2 linked regions of the Ovis aries genome follow. The protein of the gene in region 2 purifies or fractionates together with the protein of the main gene of each other region. This does not show direct contact. Links are inferred from orthologs where the notes say so. Each region holds a gene or a part of one and is shown on either strand. Other genes may lie near its edges.

Evidence for each region.
Region 1: the proteins of EEF2K (region 2) and BTRC purify together in Homo sapiens (affinity purification with western blotting; 4 studies listed by BioGRID and IntAct, with this or other methods). This does not show direct contact. The link is inferred for Ovis aries from reciprocal best matches to the Homo sapiens genes EEF2K and BTRC.

What each region holds. Positions count from the first base shown.
Region 1 is NC_056075.1:21,897,383-21,903,537, reverse strand, and holds the start of BTRC (F-box/WD repeat-containing protein 1A), read right to left. Parts: upstream 3,457-6,155; 5' UTR 3,388-3,456; coding exon 3,340-3,387; exon of another isoform or gene 3,303-3,339; intron 1-3,302. UniProt on the Homo sapiens protein: Substrate recognition component of a SCF (SKP1-CUL1-F-box protein) E3 ubiquitin-protein ligase complex which mediates the ubiquitination and subsequent proteasomal degradation of target proteins. Recognizes and binds to phosphorylated target proteins.
Region 2 is NC_056077.1:20,436,515-20,442,494, reverse strand, and holds the start of EEF2K (eukaryotic elongation factor 2 kinase), read right to left. Parts: upstream 4,163-5,980; 5' UTR 3,845-4,162; intron 3,356-3,844; exon of another isoform or gene 3,290-3,355; intron 1-3,289. UniProt on the Homo sapiens protein: Threonine kinase that regulates protein synthesis by controlling the rate of peptide chain elongation.

The sequences.
Region 1 (6,155 bases), on a different chromosome or scaffold from region 2:
GGCTTCTTTCTTATCTCCTGGAATGCTCCCCTTCTTAGAACCCAGACACCATGCTTTAAGGAAATCCAAAAGAAGGCCATATGGAGAAAGGAGGACAAGAAGGCCTTATTGCTAGCTGAACTCACAGACAGTGGCTGGCCGTGAGAAACTGGCCATTTTGGGCCAGCCATGAGAGATTGTGGCCATTTTGAACATTCCAGCCAACACTAGGCAAAACAGAAAATGCACCAATCAACAAAAGATTTATGTTTGTTACACAGCAAGTTAACCTTTACACTGTTTCACTTATCTATCAATAAAAAAACTATTTTATACATCTTGAAATTATTTCATCCATGTGTCAAATTTTCCTAGTTCTAAGATCCCGAGACCAGTTTATCCTGTCCATTTAAAAATAAATTTCAAATCCATCCCTCAACTTGTCATATAAATAGATAAAATACAGAAGGAGAGACAGATATAGATATAGTACAGATATTCAAAGATGAAGTTTAAGTATAGACCATGTATGAATTATGGTCAAATCTGAATCGGTCTCACTGATAAGGTTTTATTATAAAAATTAATCAAATTACTACATCAATACAGTAATGAGCAAAATTCATAAAAGAGAATATCCATTTCATGCTATTTTAAACAAAATTTTATATTTTCTTAAACTGTAGAAATCAGGGCATCCTATACAAAAATTGTCATTCACACCTCAGAATTGAGGGAAAGGATAAGGACAAAATAAAGCCAAATACTATATAAAAATTTCAATTTGATTAAAAGGATAGTCTTTTCCATGTGTACTGTGCATTAATTACCAGGTGCAAGCACAAATAAAGTATCTTCCTATCTCAAATGACTAAGTAAACAAACATAACAGAGTAAATGGGACCAAAGGCAGGTTGTGACTTAAATTCATAATAAGACTGTTACTGAGGTGAAAAGGGCTTCCCTGGTGGCTCAGACGGTAAAGGATCCACCTGCAATGCGGGAGACCTGGGTTCAATCCCTGGGTTGAGAAGATCCCCTGGAGAAGGAAATGGCAACCCACTTCAGAATTCTTGCCTGGAGAATCCCCATGGACAGAGGAGCCTGGCGGGCTATAATCCAAGGGGTCTCAAAGAATCAGATACAACTGAGCAACTAAGCACAGCACTGAGCTGAAAAAGAATGCCAAATCTTTAACTCTCCATTCTGTTGCAGTTATTAAGGTGTCATTCTTGGTGACCCTTTTCCAGCTGGCCTTCTCGCAAACAGCAGCCATAACAGCAGGCAAGGTCAAAAATGAAAGTAACTAAAATTGAAGAAAAATTGGTTTCTCCTTATGGAAACTGACTCAACATTTAATAATGTGTGGTGTCCCAAAAGCTTCAAACTACTCATGGCCATCTCTAGCTCCAACTTTAACTCAATCAGGAGACCATTATCAAAACAACTCACTGGTACAAAGCAGAGATCAATTGGTTGAAAATGTTCCTAGGCTGAGGTCTATCAGGGACTAAAGAAGATGATCTCATAAGGTCCCTTTATGATCTGTTAAAACCACATTATTCCATAAATCTGACACGTGTCAAGATTAGGACAAAACAAAAATAAGCAGCTGTCACTTTTCTTACTTAAATCTAGAAGCTGGCTGTACACACAAAGCAACTTCGTCTCACTTCTGAAGTCCGAAACAATTCTGAAGCCTCTTAATATTTTAGAATTTCAACAGTGGGCAGAAACTCAAGAACTTTCTTCAGGTCTAATAGTATTTTGTTAAAGATACACTTGAACTTTAGTTAGGCATTTTAGAAAGCACTAATACAAAATAAATAAAGTTACAGTAAATATGACCAGACTCTTAAATTATATTCTTGTAAATGCAGCAGTTTAAAGCCTAAATTCAATTAGGTTAGTGTCCATGGTTTGTTTAGATTTGTTTTGGTATCTAAGGCCAAGAAGACAAAACAACAACTATCTAACAAAAGAAATAAAGATTTGGAGTGACAGGTTACAATTACTTCTGAAAAAGCAAACAGACTGTAAAATAATATCAATGGTCCCTATGGACACCAGTTAAGACAGAAAGAAGTCTATGCATCCCATCATTCTTTAGCTGTAACCACCAAGTCTGGTTTTACATCTGGGATATACAAATGAAGCATCAGATTAAATGCATCAAATAGCTATACACATTTGCTAAACATACACATATCAAAAAAAGAAAAGCATGATACAAAGTTAAAGAATTAGACTCCAAAGGATTGAAACACACCCACAAAATTCAAGTTCATACTGTGCTTCAACCTAAAAGTCCTAAGTAACTACTAACCCTGACATTTCCTATTATTCTCCACCATCTGCATTCCCCCTTTTATCTCCTGAATTTCTCCAGTGATCTTATTACTTCTTATGGGTCTTTGGATGCTAATCTGCATAGCCTTTCCATTCCCAGAAAGTGATACTGCACCTGATCTCCACATTTTACTGTCTCTACGATATCGCATCAAGTTTTGTTTTACACTATTAGATATTAATTTTGCCCCTAATCTCCTGTACCTAGGTTTCCCTAACCAGTGAACCTCTTCTGTCTTCTTTCAAACTAGAGAATGTATACCCTTTTCCTGATACCTGTAACTCTGGCATCTATTCAACCTCTTCCCTTTCCCAAAGACTGTCATCACAGTGCGAGGTCCCCGTCCCCAGTCCTTACCTTCCTAAGTAAGGCCTAGTTCTTTCCAGAGTTTGCCAACATTAGTTTGTTTGCCCAAGCTGGGATTGTACCCTGAAGGCTATCTCTCCCACCTCACTCTACAAGACTGTAAGTCTCCCAGCAGTCCTCTTTCTGCTCTACCTTAGATCCATCCACATCCAGCCTTGCCCGTTTTTCCCACCCTCCTCCCACTCCCAGTATCTTTCCTCCCACTGTCCAGCGTTCCCCTTCCCTACTACTGAATGCACCTCTTCTCCAGGGCCTCACCCGTAACCCTCACACCGGCAAGGCCCTGCCAGCGGCCTCACGGCGTCTCTCCTCCTGGCCTCCTCAGCTCTTCAGTAACTGTCCCTAAGCCCCTTACTCTCCAGGGCCCCGCGCGCCCCAGAGACCCCTCCCCGATTAAGCTCTCGCTGTCACTTGGCCTCTCATCCACAAGATGGCGGAGCTGCTGCCCCCACCCCCGGGTCCTCTCCGCAACCCCTCCTACCTCCCAGAAGCTCCCGTCCCGTCCCTCCAGCCGCCCCCGCCGCCGGCCTCGGCCCAGGGTCTCGCTGTGCCCTCCTCCAACGGGCAGGCAGCCCAGGCCCGAGCCTCAGAGACGCCGCCAACGCACCGCCTGCACAGTTCCCCGGCCTGCACCTTCTCCTCACCATAAACTTGAGCGCTTTTTCCTGCAGCACCGCCTCGGCCGGGTCCATAATCGCCAGGGGCCACTGGGTCTGCACTCCGCCGGGGCCGCCCCCTTGATGCCAGGCCGCAGCCAACGCAGCGCCCGGATCCCGCCTCCTCTTCCTTTCCTCCGCCCTCTTACCTCTCAGGCACTGGCAGGGGGGCCAGGGAGGACAAGGTGTCCTTTGCGCATGCGTGTTGCCCGCTGGCTCACGGGATTTGTGGTTCTGGAGGTTCCTGAAGCAAAAAAGTGACGCCACACTACGAACTGCAACTCCCGCGGTTCACTGCGGTAGGGTCGCGGTGTCTCCCACGCCAAATCTAGACAACTGACCGTCAAGTAGAGAAGATCAGCGTATGGGAATCGTAGTTTGCGGCCTCTAGAGCTGAGAAACGGGAGGGGCATCGGTGTCTCCGTGGTTACCGAGCGACGCCAGTGGCGACTTGCCTGGCAATTGATATCAAGATGGCGACCGGCGCCTCACCTGTAGCCCAAATACTAGAAAAAGCTCTGAGAGGACAGAGACGCTAGGGCCTCCCTAACTGTTGTTATAGAGAACTGACGCCCCCCAAATTCCTATGTCTGGCGTCTGAAGGACGGATTTTGACTGGGACGCCTGGCCTATGGGCACCTAGCAGTAGCTTCATGCTGAAATGCAGAGTTTCAAGGTCTTTCTAAGTCATCGCGCCATACTTCCACCTTATTCTAACCCACTATAAGTCAGGGTCTAATAGAACTCGACTCAGAATATTCTCGGGTGTTTAGCACTCAGAAACCATGGCCGGCTACTGCTAACCCTGAGATGTAAGCCCTGCATTCAGGGTTAAATGGGTACTTCCAAAAGGTCTTTAATGGTGGGATATAATGGCCATCGAGCAAATAAAGCATGTAGTATTTAGTTTGGCCTTAAAGGGGACTGTACGAATTTATTTTGGAAATCAGCTTACCATAAAATGCGAAAACACTAGGGTTGTGCTAAAAGTGACAGGCTTGTACAAAATACCTGAGTTTATAAAATAGGGAAATAGCTTTTCGTTTATAGGGAAATCTTCCACTGTATATTTTATTCATTTGTTCATTCAACAAACAGCACATATAACCATGTGCGGATAATTGTGCCCAAGAGATGGGGATTCAATAGTGAACACAATAGTCCTGCTCTCATGGAACTTACATTTCTAGTATATCGATACTTTGTCCTACTCATCTCTATGTTCTCAGAACTCAGCACATTACCTATATATAATAAAGTTAATTAAAAGTTATACTCTTGAATTTTTTTTTTTAAGGGACTTCCCTGGTGGTCCAGTGGCTAAGACTCCCTACTCCCAGTGCACTGAGCCCAGTTTCCATCCCTGGTCAGGGAACTAGATCCTAAATGCCCCAACTGAGAGTTCACATGCTGTAACCAAAATCAAAGATTCCAGGTGCCACAACTAAGACCCAGTGCAGGCAAATAAATGAATAAATTTTTTTAAAAAAATTTAAGTTCTGCTACTACTACTATTGCAAAATGAAGACTCAAAATTCATTCATATGAAAACTACCTGCAACTTTTCATAGGCAGTATGTGATATGGTTGCCAAAAAAGCTAAAGTTTAAAAGTTAGGCAGCTTGAAGAGAGTAGTGTCTCGGGAATACAGTTTTATGGTTTTACTCTGTTTTGAATCACTAAGACCACACCTGGAGCACTTTGTTCAGTTATGGGCACCATGTTCTGTAAACATCTTATGCAGGAGCACAGCCAAGGACAAGATAACCGAAAGAGAAAATATTGATAAATGACTACTCTGAAGAAAGAGCACTTAAGAATAACATGGCAAATAAATTTAAGTATTTTAAAATACTGAAAGGCATATGTATATAGCTCTATAGGGTAAAGTAGGACCACTGGATAGGATAATAATAGTGATGGTGGTGATGATGATAACAGCTGTCACTTTATTAGCTCTTTGTGACTAGGTATCTCATATTCATAATTTATAATATAGAGTAACTTTGTAAAGCAGGTATTATTATCCCTAATTTACAGATGAAGTAAGTGAGATTGAGGAGATAAGTAACTTGATCAAGTCACCCAGCAAATTACATCATCAGGATTCTAACCCCATCTGCTTGACTGCAAGGCCTGTGCTATTTTCACTGAACTACACTGTAATGACACAAGATTCAGATTCACGCTTTCTAGTAACCAGAGCTGTCTTGACAAAGGAAACATAGAGGCAGGGTGACCATGTTGTCTGAAAATATAGAGGCAGGATTGTCTAGGAGAGTTCAGTTTGGGTGGGAGGTTAACATCCTTTACTGTAAAATTCTGTTGATAAGTCATTTGTTTTATTTTACTTTAGGTGTTAGTTACTCAGTTGTGTCTGACTCTTTTATGACCCCATGGACTGTAGCCTGCCAGGCTCCACTGTTCGTGGAATTCTCCAGCAAGAATACTGGAGTGGGCAGCCATTCTCTTCTTCAGGTGACCTTCCCAAGCTAGAGATTGAACTCCAGGTCTTCTGCATTGCAGGCAGATTCTTTACCATCTGAGCCACCAGGGAAGCCCTTGTTATCCATAGAGTATGAAAATATTGCCCAATGAGATTGGCATTCTTTTGGTTTGTATGGTTTTTGCAAAATAGATATTGTTTTCCGTGTTAAATTTTAAATTCACAAAGGTAATATTGTTATGTGTCTCATTGTGTTTTTTTTTTTCTTCATTGTGTTTCATACTTTCTTCACCTAGTAGCTGTGGTTTTACAATCCATTTACATTGTTATGTACATCAAACATGATGCTTCTGACTGA
Region 2 (5,980 bases):
AAGAGGGACTGAATTTTAATTTTTAATTATTTGCACCCTTCTCATGTTCCCAGGACACTCTGTACTCTTGGTGGGTCAGACCAGAGAGACAGCATGTCTCATTTCTCAGGGCAACTCTGTGTTTATACAGCCTCTCGGTGCCCAGACCATGTGAGTGTCTGGAACAAAAGGGGCCGTGTCTTGGTCCTTCTAGCTCCTAGCCCAGAGCACAATGTCTGGCACACACGAGGTTCCCTAGAAATGCAGGGTGCATGAACGAATGATTAACTGGAGAAAAGTGGGCCATTTCTGCAGATATAATGGGCATTGTAGGCATGGAGGAATAGAGGGACTATCAGGTTACAATTACAAGGCATCTAGGGGTTACTTAGCCAGGAGACACAGCTGAGTATATGGGAAAACCTGAGTGGGAAAGCCTGGATCATGCGGAGGCCCTCAAAAAGCAGCCAAGACAAGGATTGGGCCCAACAAGCTTTGGAGATGAACAGATCTGGGTTCAAGTCCGGGCTCTGCCACTACTAGCTGAGTGCCATTGGGCAAATTAGCTAACCTCTCTGAAACTTGGCTTCCTCATGTGCATAATTCACTCATCTACCAAGTGGGGCAGTGTGAGCAAGGTGGAGAAGAGGTGAGAGAGCTGGTCTGTGGCGCAGAAGCCAGCTGTCCACTGTGTTTTGCGTACCCCTGACCAAATCCTTTTGCATCTAGGTGAGGCCAGGGGGCTACATGTGAGGTGGTGGAGCGCGGACAGAAGTAACTGGCGCTGCTATCAGGCCCATCCCATCCCTGAGGCCCGTTTTCGGCACCCTGGTCAGCCTCCCCTGCACTGCAATGCTGTCCTGAGACACGTAGCCCAGAACAGAGTCACAGCTTTCCAGCACCACTCACAAAGCTCCTGCTCAGCCCCCTGGAGAACAAGGGTTCCCTGCTCCCTGGGCTCACCCACATGGTGCCATCTGTTTGGCACACGCCCTAACCTGCTCTCCCTACCCATCCCCTAGCCAGTTCTGCTCATCCCTCAGGTCTCAGGTTAGATAGATGTCACCTCCTCCAGGAAGCATCGCTGGAGCCCCAGGAGTTTGGCACCATTAGCCTCATCCTACAGATGAAGAAACTGAGGAACAGAGAGGTGAAGCGACTTGCCCCTAATCACGCGGCCAGAAGGCAGGGGAGGTGGGTTTGCAGCCAGTGCAGATCCATCCAGGGTTCGCTCAGCCCTGACTTCCTAAACCACTTTCAAACTGTGATTCCTGGGACCACTAGCAGGTCCCACTTCTACTCGTCACATGTGCAAATTCTGGGGGCCCCGTGCCAGTCCTGCTCAAGTAAACTCTGGGGATGGGCCCGGCAAGCCGTGTTTAAACAATTCCTCCAGGTGGTGTAGATATGCACCGAAATTCAAGAACCACTGGCCCGTTAAAATTTAAAAAATAAAAACTTAAAAAAAAAAAAAAAAGAACCACTGGCCCAGAGACATGTTCTCAGTTGAGCCTCCTGCCTTTTGGCCACTCCCTGTGGAATCCTTGCGAGGTCTAGAAAGTGTCCCAGCTGGAGAACTAAACACTGTCTGCCCTCTGATTTTCTAGCCATCTGAAATGCTTCTCTGGGTGTTCCACGGCCCTGGGTCTTTGGACAAGTTACTGTCTTCTACTTTATTATCAAGCCTGTTAGTGACTCACTTCTTCCTTTGTTGGAAGCCTGCTTCTTGTGCCCATCAGCCTTGGTGGCAGGAGTATAATTCAGCAACACTTGAAGGGCCAAGCCACTTTTATACTGTGGTGAGCACTATAGTCACTTTCTTCTAGAACATTCTCAGTTCGCTGGGGTTACATCTGCAGCTTCTTGATCAGCAGAACTGATCTCCCCAGCACAAAAATGTTTATTTTTAAGTCAGTCCAGCAAGCCACTATTACATTGAATGAGGTCCTGGTCATCAACACTTCCTGTATCAACTTTAAGAATCAAACCAGAAAGAGTAAATCTTAAGAGAATGAGCCTGAACAAATCCAAGTTTCTGCTGGTGACCCTCAGCTTTCTTCCACACTGCTCTCTGTGTCCTGGCACCTGGATGTCAACCCTGCCAAAGACTGGACCAGACTTCTTTGGGGAATCTGATCAGTGTGAGAAAAAGGGCCTAAAGACACCCTCCCCTGCAGAACACCAGATCACCCCGAGGGGAAAGCCACAACCAAGAAGCCCCTCTCATACCCACAGATGTTTCATAGGGCTTCCTGGAGCCCCAGTTTCTTCAGCAGATAGTCACAGACCACCAGAGAGGTGGAAAGGAGAGCTCCCGTCAATCAGGGACCCAGCCACCTTCCAGGCTGTGGCTCTGCCCTCTGCCAGGCCCTCACAGTCCTCTCAACTCTGCTGGTAAATAGGAGAATGGGGGAGGTTTTCAGGGTCCAGCCTTGGGGGAGACACACACTATTTCTGCTCATATTCCAACAAGCCAAAACTTAGTCATGTGGCCCAACAAATTATAAGGGAGCCCACAAAACGCAACCAGGATGATATCCCAGGAAGAGGAGGACATGGTGACCAACAGCCATCTCTGCCACATAATACATTAAAAATGTTTAAAGATCGTATCAGTGATACATCCTTAATCAGCCAGAAAGTACTGTCCTGTCACCCAAAGCACACACACACACACACCCTGCTGCAAATCACAGAATGTACACAAGTGACCATATGTAAACAGATCATTTCAAGGGATCCTCAGACCCTGACTTCCTCTCTCCCCACCCCCTACAAAAGATAATTTGGGACAGCAGCCCACATCCCTTCTTGAAGAATAGGAGAGGAGGGGGGATGGCAATCCCAACCATCCTGTTACACCTGAAATCCCAGCAGCTTTATTGTATTTGTTGAATAAATGCCTGGAGTAAAAAATGAAAGGTGCTGTGGAGGCCAGGGAGAAGGACACCTAGGAAACTCTAAATCCCACTTCCTCCCACAGGCATCCTTTCCATCACCACCTCCAGGAAGCCTTCCCCAATGACCCCCCACAAGACCTCCCCCCCGCCCACGCCACACACACGGCATTATCAGCTCCCACCTGCTTGCTCTCTATTCCTTCACTTAGCCCACCTTGCTCATTAGTACCTGCTGTTAGATTACTCTGGGCCTCAGTTTCCTTCTCTGTAAAATCAGAGGGGTAGACAATTTCCTGTCTGAGCGGCCCCCAGGCAGCAGCTTCCAGGGCCGAGCACCCAGAAGTCAGGCTCCCACAGAACTTCCCTCCTGCAGACTAGCCACCCTCCTCCCAGCAGCCCATGTGTCTCACCGGGGCGCAGCTGGGCGGGTTCCCCGCAACCCCCGAGGCCCGCGCAGCGGATCTAGGCCGGGACTCACCCGGGGAGGCCCCCGCCCCGCCACTCCGCATACTGATGCCCGGCCCCTTGGCGCACTTGCCCACGGGGCCTGCCAACACCCGAAACTCCCGCAGTCAACAGTGCAGCAAGGGTGCGTCGACACTGTCCTTGAGGTTCCTGGAACTGGGGCCTCTTGTTCGGGGGCCCAGGTGGGGGATGCGGCTTCGGCATCCCTCCCCCACCTCTGCGGGCCCCGAGGCGCCCCAGGCGGAGGCCCCCAAGCTGCCTCTCCCACACCAAGGAGTGCCAAGTATTTTCCTAATAGGCTCTGCCGTTAATCGGCACGACGCTCCCATTTTACAGAAGCAAGCAGTGAAAGCCGAAGAGCTGAACCCTCACATTCTCCTTCCGCCTCGAGCCCCGCTTTAAGCACCGGACCCTGAGCGCTCCGGACGCCGGCAGCACCGGGGCGCGCCGGCCTGCAGCGCCGGATCCCGGCCCCCTTGGCCAACCGCGGCCCCACTTACCTGCCTCGGGCGGCCCGGCGCGGCAGCCGCTGCTCACGGCCGCGAGGATCCAGAGGAACTGGCAGAGGCTCGTGGCCCGGTGCTCCAGGGTGCAGGGCGGGCGGGCCCCCCGAAAATGCCGGGGAGCGGCGAGCCGGGCGCGCGGGCCGGCGCTCGGGGGAGGCGGCGGCGGCCGCAGGAACGGTCCCGGGGCGCGAGGGGTGCGCGGAGCCGCTGGAATGATCCCGGGGCGCTAGGGGAGCGTTCCGAGGGCCACCGTCAGCGGGGCTGGGGCAGCTGCAGCGGCAGCGCGACTTGCGGGAGGCGGATCCCCACACTGGCAGAGCTGGGGCTGGGGCCGGAGGCGGCGCGCCGGGGCGGGGCCGCGGCGCTCACGTGGCCGCCCCCAGTGGCCGCCCGGGCTCCTTCTGCCGCCGCGTGGACCTCCCGGCGCTGCGTCTGCGGCTGACTAGCCAGCTGAATACAGAGCTTCCGGATCTAACGCCTGCGGCAGGCCTGGCCACCTACTGGCAAAGGGGGCGCCCGCCCAGCGGGTAATTTCAGAGGGGACAGCTAACCCCTTGCTCTCGTACCGCACCCTCCCATTCTCCATCCGCTGCCTGTCTAGTTCCTGTATTCGAATCCTTTCCAAAATCAGTAATGATCCGGTCTCATTGTACGTCTCAAATCGCTTTTTTTCTGATCTCTGCTTTGCAAAAACTTATGGCAATTATTTGTGTAATTATTTGTATAGTACGTTGCTGTAGTCCTCTTAGCGCACGGCTTGGCATCGGCGTGCGTGCTAAGTTGCTTCAGTTGTGTCTGTGACTCTGTGTGACCCTATGGACTGTAGCCCGCCATGCTCCTCTGTCCATGGGATTCTCCAGGCAAGAATACAGGAGTGGGTTGTCATGCCCTCCACCAGGGGATCCTTCCCGGCCTGGTACCTAGCAAGTGCTTAATAAATACCTGGGAAATGAACAAATAAATACGGTAAAGTATAACGAAGAAAAGGAAATAAAACTAATGATAACCACTGTGAACAAGTTCATATTATATCTTCCTATTTTCCTAGCGAAATTTTAGAATTTCATAACTGTTAAATTTAGAAATAAGACTTCGCTGGTTGTCCAGTGGTTCAGACTCTGGGCTTCCACTGCACGGGGCACAGAAAAAAAAGAAATAACTGATATGTATCAAGCGTTTTTTCTCATACTATCTTCATGTCAACCTTTGTAGCTGTATTGTACAGATCATAAAACTGAGGCTTATAGAGATACAGTTGCCCAGAAGATTTCCAAGGTAGGGGCCCCAGGCAAACGCAGAGAAACAAGTGCACGCAGGCAGGCCAGAAACAGAGAGACAGGGTTACCTAAGTATGATTGTGGGAGTGTTTACATTTTTCCTAACAAGAGTGGACTCTTACCTATTTCTCCTATCCACTCAACACTGGATTGTAAACATGTTTCTGTGGTCAAGGGCTACCTGTCATTTGCAATGCCTTCTTCGATGAGCCTTTTTGGAGTTGTGATAAGAACTGATATTTACAGGACATTCACTTTGTATCAGGCACTTTGGTAACTGCTTTATAGACATTATCTTTTTAAATTCTGGTCATAATCCTCTTATTTTCCCCACTTCATAAACAGGGAGACTAAGGCAGGTGAAGTGACTCTCCCAAGTTTACATAGGAAGTCGCAGATTTTGACCTAGGTCTCAGTATATATTGACCACTCCCTAGAATGTCCTGTCCATTAGTCTTGACTCTTCAGTTTTGTGTGTGTGTGCTCAGTTGCTTGAGATGTCCAACTCTTTGCAACCCTATGGACTGTAGCCCGCCAGGCTCCTCCTTCCATGGGATTTCCCAGGCAAGAATACTGGAGTGGGTTGCCATTTCCTAATTTAGGGCATCTTCCCAACCCAGGGATCAAAGCCCTGTCTCCTGGGTCTCCTGCACTGACATGAGGATTCGTTATCATTGCACCACCTGGGAGGGCCACTTCAGTTTTTGTGGCCCCTGAAAATTCAGATTCTGTTGGGAGAGTGAAGTCCTTCAGCTTACCAGCTGCAGTGGTCTCTAGGGAGTAGGTACAAGTTTATGAGGCTTGGGGAGAGGGTGACATTCAGGCAGCACCTCATAAGGTGGTGAAGGGAATG